3 linked regions of the Ovis aries genome follow. The protein of the gene in region 3 purifies or fractionates together with the protein of the main gene of each other region. This does not show direct contact. Links are inferred from orthologs where the notes say so. Each region holds a gene or a part of one and is shown on either strand. Other genes may lie near its edges.

Region 1 (4,316 bases), on a different chromosome or scaffold from region 3:
CCGGCCTTCAGCCCAACAGCTCCGCAGACGGGAGGACTTGTCCCAGAGACTGGGCCTGGCCCCTCGGTTCCCCTCGAAGAACGAACCCTGGTGCTTGGTTGTACCTGCCTGCAGGTGGTTGGCCTCTGAACCCAGCAGCAGGCCCACGGGGCTCATAGCAGGAAGCTGAGTCCAGGGCTCTGGCCACCATGCCCTGAGTGGGGAGGCTGATGCCCACAAGGCTGCACCGCCTGAGATTTTAGGGACTGCCCTTTTCATCCCCCACTCCAGGGAGCTCTAGCACACGTAGCAGCCCCAGGACAAGAGAAACCAGTGGGGAGGGGAAGGAAGGTGCTGAGACAGTGGCTCCAACTCACGGGAAGGTTCTCTTGAATTTTATCTTCCAGGAATTCATAGAAGTCCTCGTTGAGTTTCTCCTGGGAGAGGAAGTGTGCAGTCCGCACTCCTGCCTCGCTTCTGAGGTCTGGTCCAAACTGTGGCCTCCCGTCCATCCCGGTGAGTCTGAAGGGAGCCAGGGCCCCAGACCCCATACCCTGGCTGATCCAACTCTGAGGACTACCCTTAGCAGGGGGCAAGGTCCAAACTCACCTCCGACTCTGCTAGGACTGCCTCCATCTGGTGGGAAAAAAACACTCTGTTTAAAACACCCCCACCCTCTCTCACTTTCACCCTGAATTCCGAGCCCCAGCTAGTTCTCATCTCTGCCCAGTCACCCCAATAACTAACCCTCAACCTGAAGACCATGCTGTGGCATCCCTGCCCTGCCCTCGTTGCCCTGTGGTCTGGACGCCGCCCTCAGCATCCCTGGGCTTCCATATCTCCTCCCTGTACACTCACCTGCCACACAGGTGTGCGTTTGTCCAGTGTAAGGACTGGGCCCTGAGCTGTGACCCTCATCATCACCGTGACTGTGAACCCACCCCTCCTCCCTCACACTGGGGAGGGTCGGGGGTGGGGCACACTGACCCACCTGTGCTTCTTCTGGTTCATTTCCCATCTTATCACAGAAGTGATCCCCGCAGCTGTGCTGTGAACAGAGGTGGACTTGAGTAAAAGAAGCTCGGTTCTTCTCCCTGCGGAGCCCCAAGTGGGCCAGATCATTCTCCGCATCACCCAGCAGAACCCAGGCCTCCCGAGCCCCAGATATTCGTCGGGATTAGCGTCTTACCAGTATGCTCCTCAGAGAAGTCTAGTCACATGGGACTCCCTGTGGAGGTAACAGTGAAACTCAGTTTCTGGTCTTGTAACCACTGAGACCTGTTTTACAGAACCACCCCCCCCACCAAGGAGGACTCTTGCCCTGGAATAGGCGGTCCACCTGGTTCCCAGATGCCAAGCCCTCCATAGTCCCGCTGAAAGCTGACCAGGGAGGAACTGGCGCTGTCCTCTCCTGTCTGAGGCGCTGACGGTGACAGCGGCCAGTCTTCCCGACCTCTGACCCTGCAGAGCCCCGGCCCCCCAGCCCCTTTCCCTCCAGGCACTTGACTCCATCTCGGAGGTGGGAGGCACCCCACCGACCCCTCGGGAGACTCCACCTAAGGGCGGGAATCTGGCGCTGTCCCCGCGGCCCTCCTGGCCCTGCGAGGTCAGTGGGGCTCACAGTACATGCAGGGCTCCCGTCTGCACACCCTGTGTCCGGGGGGCCCATCATGTCAGCCCAGCATCACACACGACTGGGCAAGGAAACACCTCGCGGGGCCGTGGGGACACTCTGCTGCCCACATCCTCCTCTCACTGGGCCTGGCTGCTCAGCCTGGCTCACCCCGTGATAACCACACCCAGACACCGGTGTGCCATGGCCCAGAGCCCCTGAGCAGCTGGTCACCCTCAGAACTAGGTAGCTGAGTGGGACAGAGGGCGGAGGGCTCCCCAAAAAATAAGAATAAATTCTGAGCTCAGCATGGCTTCAGCTGTTGATCCAGGCCCTGAGAGAAATGCTTTCAGCTTTTCTCTGAAAATCCTGGCCAGCCAACTAGACCCCACACGCTGCAACCAAGATCCCTCGGAGACAGAAGAAATTCAATAAATAGGAATAAGCATGAGAAGAGCCCGAGGGTGGCTGATTCCTCGGACACTGCAGACGCTCCTCGTCGGCTCCCCCACGAGCATGACGACTCTCATTCCTACACTCAGTCCAAGGGCCATTGCTCCTTCCTTGGTCCCAACACAGGCCCCCACACTGAGCTGCCCCTCAAACTGACCTCCCAGCAGGAGCCCCAGCCCCACAGCCAGGACCTGCTACCTAAGGAAAGGGCTCAGAGCACCAGGAAAGTGAAGTGTGTTAGTCAACAATTATGCAGAATTTCAGGCTGATGACAGCGGAGCATTCGATCTGGGTCATTGTGAGCCTGGGCGCTTTGATGTCACGGGTCCCATGTTTTGGCCCTCTGCTTCCCCACTGGGAAGGAAATGGCACCCACTCCAGTGTCTCTGCCTGGAGAAGCCCATGGACAGGGGAGCCTGGTGGGCTGCAGTTCCCGGGTTCACAAAGAGTCACCACTGAGCGACTCACACTTCACTTTCCCCTGTGGCCACCCCAGCACCCAGGGAGGGTGGGACAGAGGCTGCTGTGCCCAGAGCAGTCAGCAGGGCTGGGGCTGAGCCGGTGGGAACCAGGACAGGCAGCAACTAAGAACTGAGATCACAGGCCCACTCTCCCCTGGGCTCTGGTCGTCACTCACCTTAGCGAAGCCCATGGTGGATTAGGGTCCTCCCGCTGGGATCTGGTGCAAGAAGAGTGGGAGGAAAAGTGCTTCAGTGACGCAGGTTTGCCCACCACCCTGGAGGGTCCTCTGCCTGCAGGTCTCCCCACCCCCACACCAGGCTCCCCAGAGCCCCTCAACTGAGATCCTGCAGCCGGAGCTCCAGCTGAGCACTGCCTGGCTGCCGGCTGAGCCCCAGCCACTTAAGAGCCGGCCAGGGAGGGGTGGAGAGGGTGGAGTCCTGCTGGGGGAGGGGGCAGGGTCGGGTTGGTTATATTTGAGACAGAAACTGAGACAGAAATAGTCGCAGACACAGAGCCAGGAGAGGGGGGTCAGAAGGAGGGGAAGACATGCAGCCAGAGGTCTGAGGGGCCGGGGCGGGGAGGGCGTGTCCCTTACACTCAGGGTCTAGGGTTCAGGGCCCCTCCTCCCTAAGCTGCCTTGGGATCTCTGAGCCCAGCTTGGGCAGTACCCCGCCACTATCGGTGGAGAACGGGGAGGGACTGGGGAAAGTCCAGACTTGGGACGATAGTTTGAGGAAGCTTCGGGGGCAGCCGACCAGGGCCCTGGAACAGACTGCACCCCATTCCACATCTAGAGAAGCTTCTGCAGCCGCCCTGCCCTCAGGAAGTCACAGGACCTGCAGGGGCCCTGAGCTGGAGATTCTCCCGCAGGGAGAATTCATCCACAGCAGGGGCCGGGCCTGTGTGCCTACCCACAGGATGTGTCCCTCAGAAGGGGCTGAAGGGAGCCTACTGACCGTCTGGGCCCCTCTGACCAGGGTCTCCTGAGCCCTGCTCGGGCCCCCAGTGCTCAGTCACCGCGCCAGGGGTCTCAATGGCACTGGCCAGCCCCACAGCGCTTGACTCTCACAGCCTAGCCCAGCTCCCCTGAGACCACAGCCCCTCACAGCCCAACACAGCCATGGCCTGGCATCTGTCTTAGAGACCCAGGGCCGCCATAACAAAGAGCCACAGACCCGGTCTCAGCAACACACATTTACTCTCACAGTGGAGCCTCGAAATTGAAATCCAGGCTCAGCAGGCAGTGAATGCTCTGAGAGCCCTGAGGGAAACTTGTGTTCCTGGCTTCTCTCCTAGGCGTGTAGACGGCTGTCTCCAGGTCTACATCGCACCCTCCCTAGACAAGTATCTGTCTCCTTATTCCCCATTTTCAGAGGTCACCAGCCATAATGGATTAGAGCCCACCCTAAGGACCTCATGCTAACTTGATTCCCTGGAAAGACCCACCTCCAGGTGCCGGTGGTTAGGACTTCACTGGGTGCATTTAGGGGAACAGGATTCAGTGTCTAATATCCTTGAAGAGGAACCTGCCTCCTGACTGACCACCCGTGTGCACCCCATGGAGATGAACCTAGGAATCCCGCTCCTCAGGGAAAGTCTCTCTTGGGTCCACCAGACCCCAGCTGCCCCTTAGGAGCCCTTCAGTTGTCTGAAACTCCCTTCCCACACCCAGGAGGTCCAGATCCTTCCCTGAGCCAGCTCAGAACTCCAGGGCGGGAGGGAGACAACAGAGGCGCTCTTGCTTCAGCTGCGGGCTTCCCTGGTGGCTCAGAGGTCGAGAATCTGCCTGCAGTGCAGGAGATCTGGGTTC
Region 2 (3,645 bases), on a different chromosome or scaffold from region 3:
GAATGTGTGCTGTGTGGCAGCGCAGTGTTTTCTGGGTTATGCTCAGCAATGTCCATATTTGTTTTTCACAGTAACTTTATGAGATTGATAATATTTCATCCGAACTTTACTGATGGGGAAATTGATAACCAGAGAACTTATTTGATCATTACCAGAAAAGCTAATCGTACGTAGTGCAGGGACTCATATCTAGGGTCTGTCTTACTTCTAAACTGGTTTTTAACTTGTACTCCAGTACTTCCCAGTTTTCGTTCTGCCAGTATCATGGAAATCTCAGAATATTGAAATCGAGTCTATCTCACTGTGGTGAGCTGGCGCTGGGGAGTGGCAGAGTGAGAAGCGCAGGGAGAGCTGCCCACTAGCTGCTAGAGTCCTGGTGATCAGCTGAGAAGAGTGCAGTGAGGCACACAAGTCAGGAGCCTAGGATTCTAGATGTTTATTTAGTTTCCTTCTTTATAAAATAGATAAAGCAGGCCAGTTCAACACTCCCCATTTATTAGAATCTTAAGTATGGATATAGAGTTTTTAACTTATTTGCAAAATGCTTTCATAGGTGAATGCTTATTGATAGTAGATTTGAAAGCTGGAGAAGAATGTTAGCTATTCCTTTAAACCATTGTTTCTGTCTGTTGGCCTAGAGCACTGTTTGAAAATATCAAATGCGACCCATTAGTAACTCATAAAATCAATATACTGGGTCATGACCGGCATTAAGGAAAAAAAAAATAGAGTCTAGAAAATTTTAGAATACACTGCTTAACATAAGGATAGACGTTTTCATGAAACTACTGTTTCAATTATATATATATGTACTAGATTACATTGTCAAATATATATATTTTTATTGTATGTTGCAAGTTTGAAAAGTTTGAAAAACACTGTCCTGGAACTTCATAGAATTTATCTATTTTAATTTTACCAGGAGAGAAATTATAGTGATTTTAAGACAAATTTATCTTTAAAAGGAAATGACATCAACTAACAGAATGTATGTATGGTGTTTTCTTCTTTTTTGTAGCATTCTGAAAAGCATCTAATCCCAAACCAAAACCTTCCTGGCATGTATATAGCTAGCTACGCAGAATTAACTTTGAGGACTTTCCTGGTGGTCAAGACTCTGTATTTCCGCTGCAGGGGGCTTGGGTTTGATTCCTGGCTAGGGAACTAAGATCCCACATGCTGCTCCACATGGCCAAAAAAAAGGAATTAACTTTGACCTCAGCTCATTCATTTTCTCTGTATGTCAAAATTTGTAATATGTATGTACTGTTTCCCGCTGAATATTCAGAACAATTTTTTGCTCATTTCAGGAAGTTTCCCCTTTCTGGTTTTGAACAGTTTCTAGTTTAGAGTCCCGTGAAGTCTTATTTTTAGTCACTTCCATTTTGTTGGTTCCATAATACATTAGCTCTGGGAATGAGTAAGAGATTTGTTGTAACCTCTTTCTATAGCAGTGTGTAACTTTATCTCATTCTTTTTAATGCATATATAGTAGTCCACATAAGTTTATTGTAATTTACTTAAGAAGTTCAGCAGTTGTGTACATTTTGATTTTTTTCCAGTTTTTCGTTATAAGGCTACAGAAAACTTTACTGTCTCGTATGTTTGTGTTCTCATGAACACATCCTTAGGACATTGTGATTGAAAGTGAAATTTCTTTGAAGATGTGCACTTAAATTTTTAATGATATTGCCACATTGGCCTTCAAAAGATCATACAGGGAGTTCCCTGGCAGTCCAGTGCTTAGGACTCTGCACTTTCACTGCCAAGGGCGCAGGTTCAGTCCCTGGTTGGGAAACTTAAGATCCCACAAGCTACACAGCTCAGGTGCACCCTCCCCCCCCAAAAAAAAGGTTGTGCTAATTTATCACCACCTGCCACTGAGCCATCTGGGAAGCCCTGTATCTTTGCCAGTGCTGTACATTGTTAGAGTTTTACCTTTTTAACCTGGTAGGCTAGAGCAATCATAAAAGTCAAATAGAATTGTGTTTTAAAATTTGAGACTGAGCATGTTTTCATAGACTTATTGTTTCTTTGTCTCTGCAGTGCTGATTTTTGAGATTTCAAGTATAGGCAATATCAGTGAAGGTGACTTCAAAGTTTTGAAGAAATGGTGCTGTAAAAGTCAAGGGTCACTGTGGCTGTGATGATACCTGTGGCTATGATGACCTTCCCACTTTGACCCTTGTACTCTCTTAATTTCAGGTGATCATGGAGCTCAGCTTGGCCTCCATGGGGCTGGTGGTGATGGAATACATGATGACCCAACAGGTGGAGAGGAAGGAGAGAACAGTCCAGATCCCCAACCCCAAGCTGGTCGGAGGACCCGGCGGGAAGCATGCACTTGCCCCTACTGTAAAGATAGTGAAGGAAGGTAAGTTGATTCAGCCGGTCTCTTTAAGAGTGTAGGATGAAAAATTAGTAGATTAGGAGGGAAAAATAAGTGGTTTTTTTTGTTTTGTTTTGTTTTGTTTTAACTTTAAGACTTGGCAGGGTTACACAGGGATCAGAGATAGTATAGTGCATTTGGTTAGGCCGAATGTGGTCTTGATTCCAGCTCTGGTCCTTTCATCAACTCTTAGACCCTGGACCTTCAGAGATGCCTGCTTTCTGTTAGAGACAAGGAAGTCACATGGAGCCAAATGGTCAAATGAGTGTTACTTTATGTCTGTTTTGAGATGTTTGTTTTTACTCTTTAAAAAAATTCTGTTGGTGAGATGGTTTTAACAAGATAGCTTATAAAACAGCCTGGCAAAGAAACGGAAACATACCTACTGTAATGATTATTTTACAGTGACTGTGTGAAAATCATGAGTTTGTTTTTTTTTCTTCCTCAAAATAGATAAAACTACTTATTCTGGGTAGAAAATTCTTCAATCAAATAATCTAATATCACCTACAAAACAGACTTCTGATAGATTTTTGCATTAATGTGCTGGCTATACAATATTATCTCTGAAGAGTTCCAGGTTATTTCTCTTTTCTTCAAGTCACTGACTTTGAAAGAGAATAGAAAGTCATATAGGTTTCTAATTGCCTTTGAAAAAAGTCTGTTAAAGTTTTGCCCCATTAAAAATAAGCACAGGGGACTTCCCTGGTGATCCAGTGGTTAAGAATCTGCCTTGCAGTGCAGGGGACTCAGCTTGATTCCTGGTCAGGTAACTAAGGTCCCACGTGCTGCCAAGCAACTGTGCTTACACGCTACAACTAGAGAGTCCATGTGTCGCAGTGAAAGATCCTACATGCCGCAGCTAAAGACCTGACACAGCTGAGTAAATAAATAAATACTAAAATAATAATAATAATAATATGACAGAGTTTCCCTGGTGGCTCAGTGGTAAAGGATCTGCCTGCCAAGGCAGGAGACACAAGTTCAGTCCTTGATCTGGGTGGACCCCACATGCTGCAGAGCAGCTAAGCTTGGGTGCCACAGCTGTTGAGCCCCGTGCCCTGCAGTAAGAAAAGCCTCTGCACCTGGGGAGAAGCCCCTGCGCATTGCAGCTGGAGAACCTCCACACAGCATCGAAGGGCCAGCACAGCCAAAGTAAAGAAATTACGTTTTTTTTTTAAAAAAGAACTTAAGAAAAAAATAAGCACAAAAATAAGAAATGTACAAAAACAAAAAACAGTTTGAATTCTTTGTAG
Region 3 (3,645 bases):
ATCAGGTGCTGCTCGCAGAGCTGAAGGGCAAAAAGGAATTCTTCGCCATCAAGGCTCTCAAGAAAGACGTGGTCTTGATCGATGACGACGTGGAGTGCACCATGGTGGAGAAGCGGGTGCTGGCGCTCGCCGGGGATCATCCGTTTCTCACCCACCTCTTCTGCACCTTCCAGACCAAGGTGCCTGGCCCACCCACTGTCAGTGCCCCTGGCCCACAGCCCTCCTCAGTTGCTCAGGTCAGGGTCGTATCTCCCGTTGAGACTCGCCAGAACAGGATCCCTTCTTCTTCCTCAGATCCCTGAAGGCAGGGCTGAGATCGCCCATCCTCAGATGTCTCAGGGCAGGGCCATTCTTCCCCCTGCAGGTCCCTCAGGGCAGAGTTGTTCCCTGCTTCCTGTTAGGGCCTGCCCCTGGTGATCCTGTCAGGGTGCCCCCCTTCGCTTTCTGTCCCCCTGGTCACCATCCTCTCGCCCCTGCAGGACCACCTGTTCTTTGTGATGGAGTTCCTCAATGGGGGCGACCTGATGTACCACATCCAGGACAAAGGCCGCTTCGAGCTCTCCCGTGCCACGTATGCGAGGCCCCATGAGGGGAAGAGCCCTCTGCCTGCCTGCCTTCCATTCCTTCTCTTCGCCCCCTGGAGAAGCTAGCCTGGGCTGGAGATGGGGTTGGAGAGACTTGGGGTGGCCTGGGCCATCCCCTGCCCAGTGTGGGAAGCCAGGGGTGGTGGGTGAGCTGTGGCTGGGAACCCAACCTGGTCATATGCCAGATCCTGTCCCCTCCTTGGGCCTCAGCCAGGTGGGTGATCTTATTCAATGCAGGACCCAGATGGGTGGCTCCTTAAACCTGCATGCATCGCTAAACTGTGTGTGTGCACATAGGCCTATCTGTATAAACACATAGACTCTTAAGACAGAGGATAGTCTCCTTTGGAGCTTTTTCCTTCTTAATTTTCTTTCCTGTCTTGGCTACCAGCCGCTACTTGCCTGACACTAGATGCACTTGATGAGGCCCAGGTTGTCTGTGAAGTTATGCACAGCATTTCCTGTCCCTGGGGGGACAGAAGAAGACCTAGGGAGAAGCAGGGGCTGCTCACAGAAATCTCAGGACACCGTATATGTGTATGTGTGTTGTCTCATCCAGGTTTTATGCAGCTGAGATAGTCTGTGGACTACAGTTTCTGCACCAGAAAGGGATCATTTACAGGTGCGGGGTTTGGGAGATGGGGGGGTGTTTAGGAGGGGAGGCCCCAACCACATCATATCCTCTGAAGTGCTCTGAATGGGGCCCAGTCCAGCTTTGGTCCCCTCTCTGCATGGAATTGGTCTTTTAGTTGGGTATTTGCCTAAACCACCTACTCCATTGCTAGAATTCCTTGTGGCCCCTTAGCTGAGGCTAGCACAGCTCCAGGGACTGGGAAATCCCCAGGCATACTCGATGCCAGTCAGGGAGCACAGCACTGACTGGTATGGTGTCTCTCTCCCTATGGTGTCTCCCTGTAAAGCCCCTCTAAAGCCCTATCCAAGCACTCTGAACTTCCACCCATAGGGACTGGTTTCATAAATTCTCACCCAACAAACAACAGTCCTGTCCTGCTGTTAATATGTATCCATGCCAAAGGAAGAGGCCGGGCTCTGTGCTGTTGTGGATGATGCCAGGGGATGTCATCAATTGGGAAACCAGTCCATGGGACAGTGTGTACTGAGTACTAGGGTCCAGACTTTAAAAGGTGGTGTACATGCTGTCCATGCCTAGACTCAGTCTAGGCAAGTAGGATGGTGTGTGTCAAACGCAGTAGCCAGCTTGCAGGAAGCACTTATATTTAGCACTTCTTTGCCCTCCTCTTCCTCATTCCCCCCTCCCTGCGGGGGAGTGCTAGACTGACAGTGGGGACATGGGAGGGAGCTGCCTGGAGGAGGGGAGTGGGCCCTAATAACTCCTTCTCCTGTCCTTTCCCCTCAGGGACCTCAAGCTGGACAATGTGTTGCTGGACCACAGCGGCCACATCAAGATTGCCGACTTCGGCATGTGCAAGGAGAACATGTCCGGGGACAAACAGGCCAGCACCTTCTGCGGCACCCCTGACTACATCGCCCCCGAGGTGAGTGGCACCCTCCCCGCCCCGGCCAACACCTTGCCTCCACAGGGTGGGCGTGACTTGTGATGTCTGGGCTGCCACTCGGGGGATGAGGAGATCCCGCCGGACTTGTGTTCCGGAGCCCCTTCAGCTCCCACACTTTGTCTGCTCCAGATCCTGCAGGGCCTAAAATACTCGTTCTCTGTGGACTGGTGGTCCTTCGGAGTCCTTCTCTACGAGATGCTCATTGGTCAGTCCCCCTTCCATGGTGATGATGAGGACGAGCTCTTCGAGTCCATCCGTTTGGACTCACCGTACTATCCTCGCTGGATCACCAGGGAGTCCAAGGACATCCTGGAGAAGGTGGGAGGCCCTGGGCGGAGCTGGCCTGGGGGGGCTGGCAGATACCAGGTCTCAGGAGTGCCAGAAGCCCCCTGTCTCAGGGATGGTGGCCTCGCTGATGCTCTGGTCCTCACCCACCCGGGGGAGTCACCCTCCTGCTGCGATCCCAGGACCTCCCGTCTGGGTTCCCTGCACTGAGTCAGTCTGGCATGGCAGTGACAAGATTGGGGTCAGGAGATAGACGGACCCTAGGCTAAACTCTGAGTCTGTCTCCTTATCTACAAAATGAAGCTAGGAGAGAACCTTTCTCACAGACTTCTGGGTAGGGGGAAACATAAATTTGTGATGCTCAGGCCTGTGCCAGGCAGACAGTAAACACTCAGTAAATGACCACTGCTTTTACTCACAAATCCCACCCTCTGAGAGTCCCAGCAGCCCCCATCCATGCAGACTCGGGAGAAGAGACAAGAGAGGATTCCTCCACCCCAGAGGCTCTGGGGTGTGATGCCGGGCTGAGCCAGACTGGCCCAGGTACCCCTGGGCCTGCTTGGGGGTTTTCTGAGGAACCCATTTCCTGTAGCCCTTGGGTGCTAACCAGGTTCCTTTGCTGGGTTGCAGCTGCTTGAACGGGATGTAAGCAAGAGGCTGGGAGTGACAGGGAACATCAAAATCCACCCCTTCTTCAAGACCATCAACTGGGTTCTGCTGGAGAAACGTGCAGTGGAGCCACCCTTCAAGCCCAGAGTGGTATGTAATCCTACTCCGGTGGGGCTGCCACTCCACATTGCCCCTACTGCCTTCCCGGGTGCGCTCCTCCTGCTTTGCCCTTCCTCCCTCCTGCCTCATTTCCATGCTCTCCTCCTCTCCCTTCTGACAAATCCGCTTTCCCAGCCCTTCTGGCAGGCTGAGTCACAGTCTCTACCTTTTGTGTTCTCATGGTCTCTTCTCAGTCAGTCAGTCATTCAACAAACATTTGGTAACAGTGGATCCAGCACCCTTTACCATGCATTCTCTTTTATTTATTTATTTATTTATGGCTACACTGAGTCTTCATTGCGTCATGCAGGCTTTCTCTAGTTGCAGCAACCCGGGGCTGCTCTTTGTTGTGGTGTGTGGGCTTTTCGTAGTGGTGGCTTCTCGCTGCGAAGCACAGGCTCCAGGCACACAGACTTCAGTAGCTGTGGTGCACGGGCTTGGTTGCTCTGAGGCATTGTGGAATCTTTCCA

The links.
Region 1: the proteins of PRKCD (region 3) and IL32 purify together in Homo sapiens (affinity purification with western blotting; 4 studies listed by BioGRID and IntAct, with this or other methods). This does not show direct contact. The link is inferred for Ovis aries from reciprocal best matches to the Homo sapiens genes PRKCD and IL32.
Region 2: the proteins of PRKCD (region 3) and SP1 purify together in Homo sapiens (affinity purification with western blotting; 3 studies listed by BioGRID, with this or other methods). This does not show direct contact. The link is inferred for Ovis aries from reciprocal best matches to the Homo sapiens genes PRKCD and SP1.

The regions. Positions count from the first base shown.
Region 1 is NC_056077.1:3,028,847-3,033,162, reverse strand, and holds the start of IL32 (interleukin-32), read right to left. Parts: upstream 2,882-4,316; 5' UTR 2,697-2,881; coding exon 2,682-2,696; intron 1,208-2,681; exon of another isoform or gene 1,169-1,207; intron 1,074-1,168; exon of another isoform or gene 971-1,073; intron 616-970; exon of another isoform or gene 357-615; intron 1-356.
Region 2 is NC_056056.1:133,097,721-133,101,365, reverse strand, and holds part of SP1 (transcription factor Sp1), read left to right. Parts: intron 1-2,205; coding exon 2,206-2,374; intron 2,375-3,645. UniProt on the Homo sapiens protein: Transcription factor that can activate or repress transcription in response to physiological and pathological stimuli.
Region 3 is NC_056072.1:47,848,438-47,852,082, reverse strand, and holds part of PRKCD (protein kinase C delta type), read left to right. Parts: intron 1-5; coding exon 6-179; intron 180-479; coding exon 480-571; intron 572-1,143; coding exon 1,144-1,206; intron 1,207-1,962; coding exon 1,963-2,101; intron 2,102-2,251; coding exon 2,252-2,440; intron 2,441-3,037; coding exon 3,038-3,166; intron 3,167-3,645.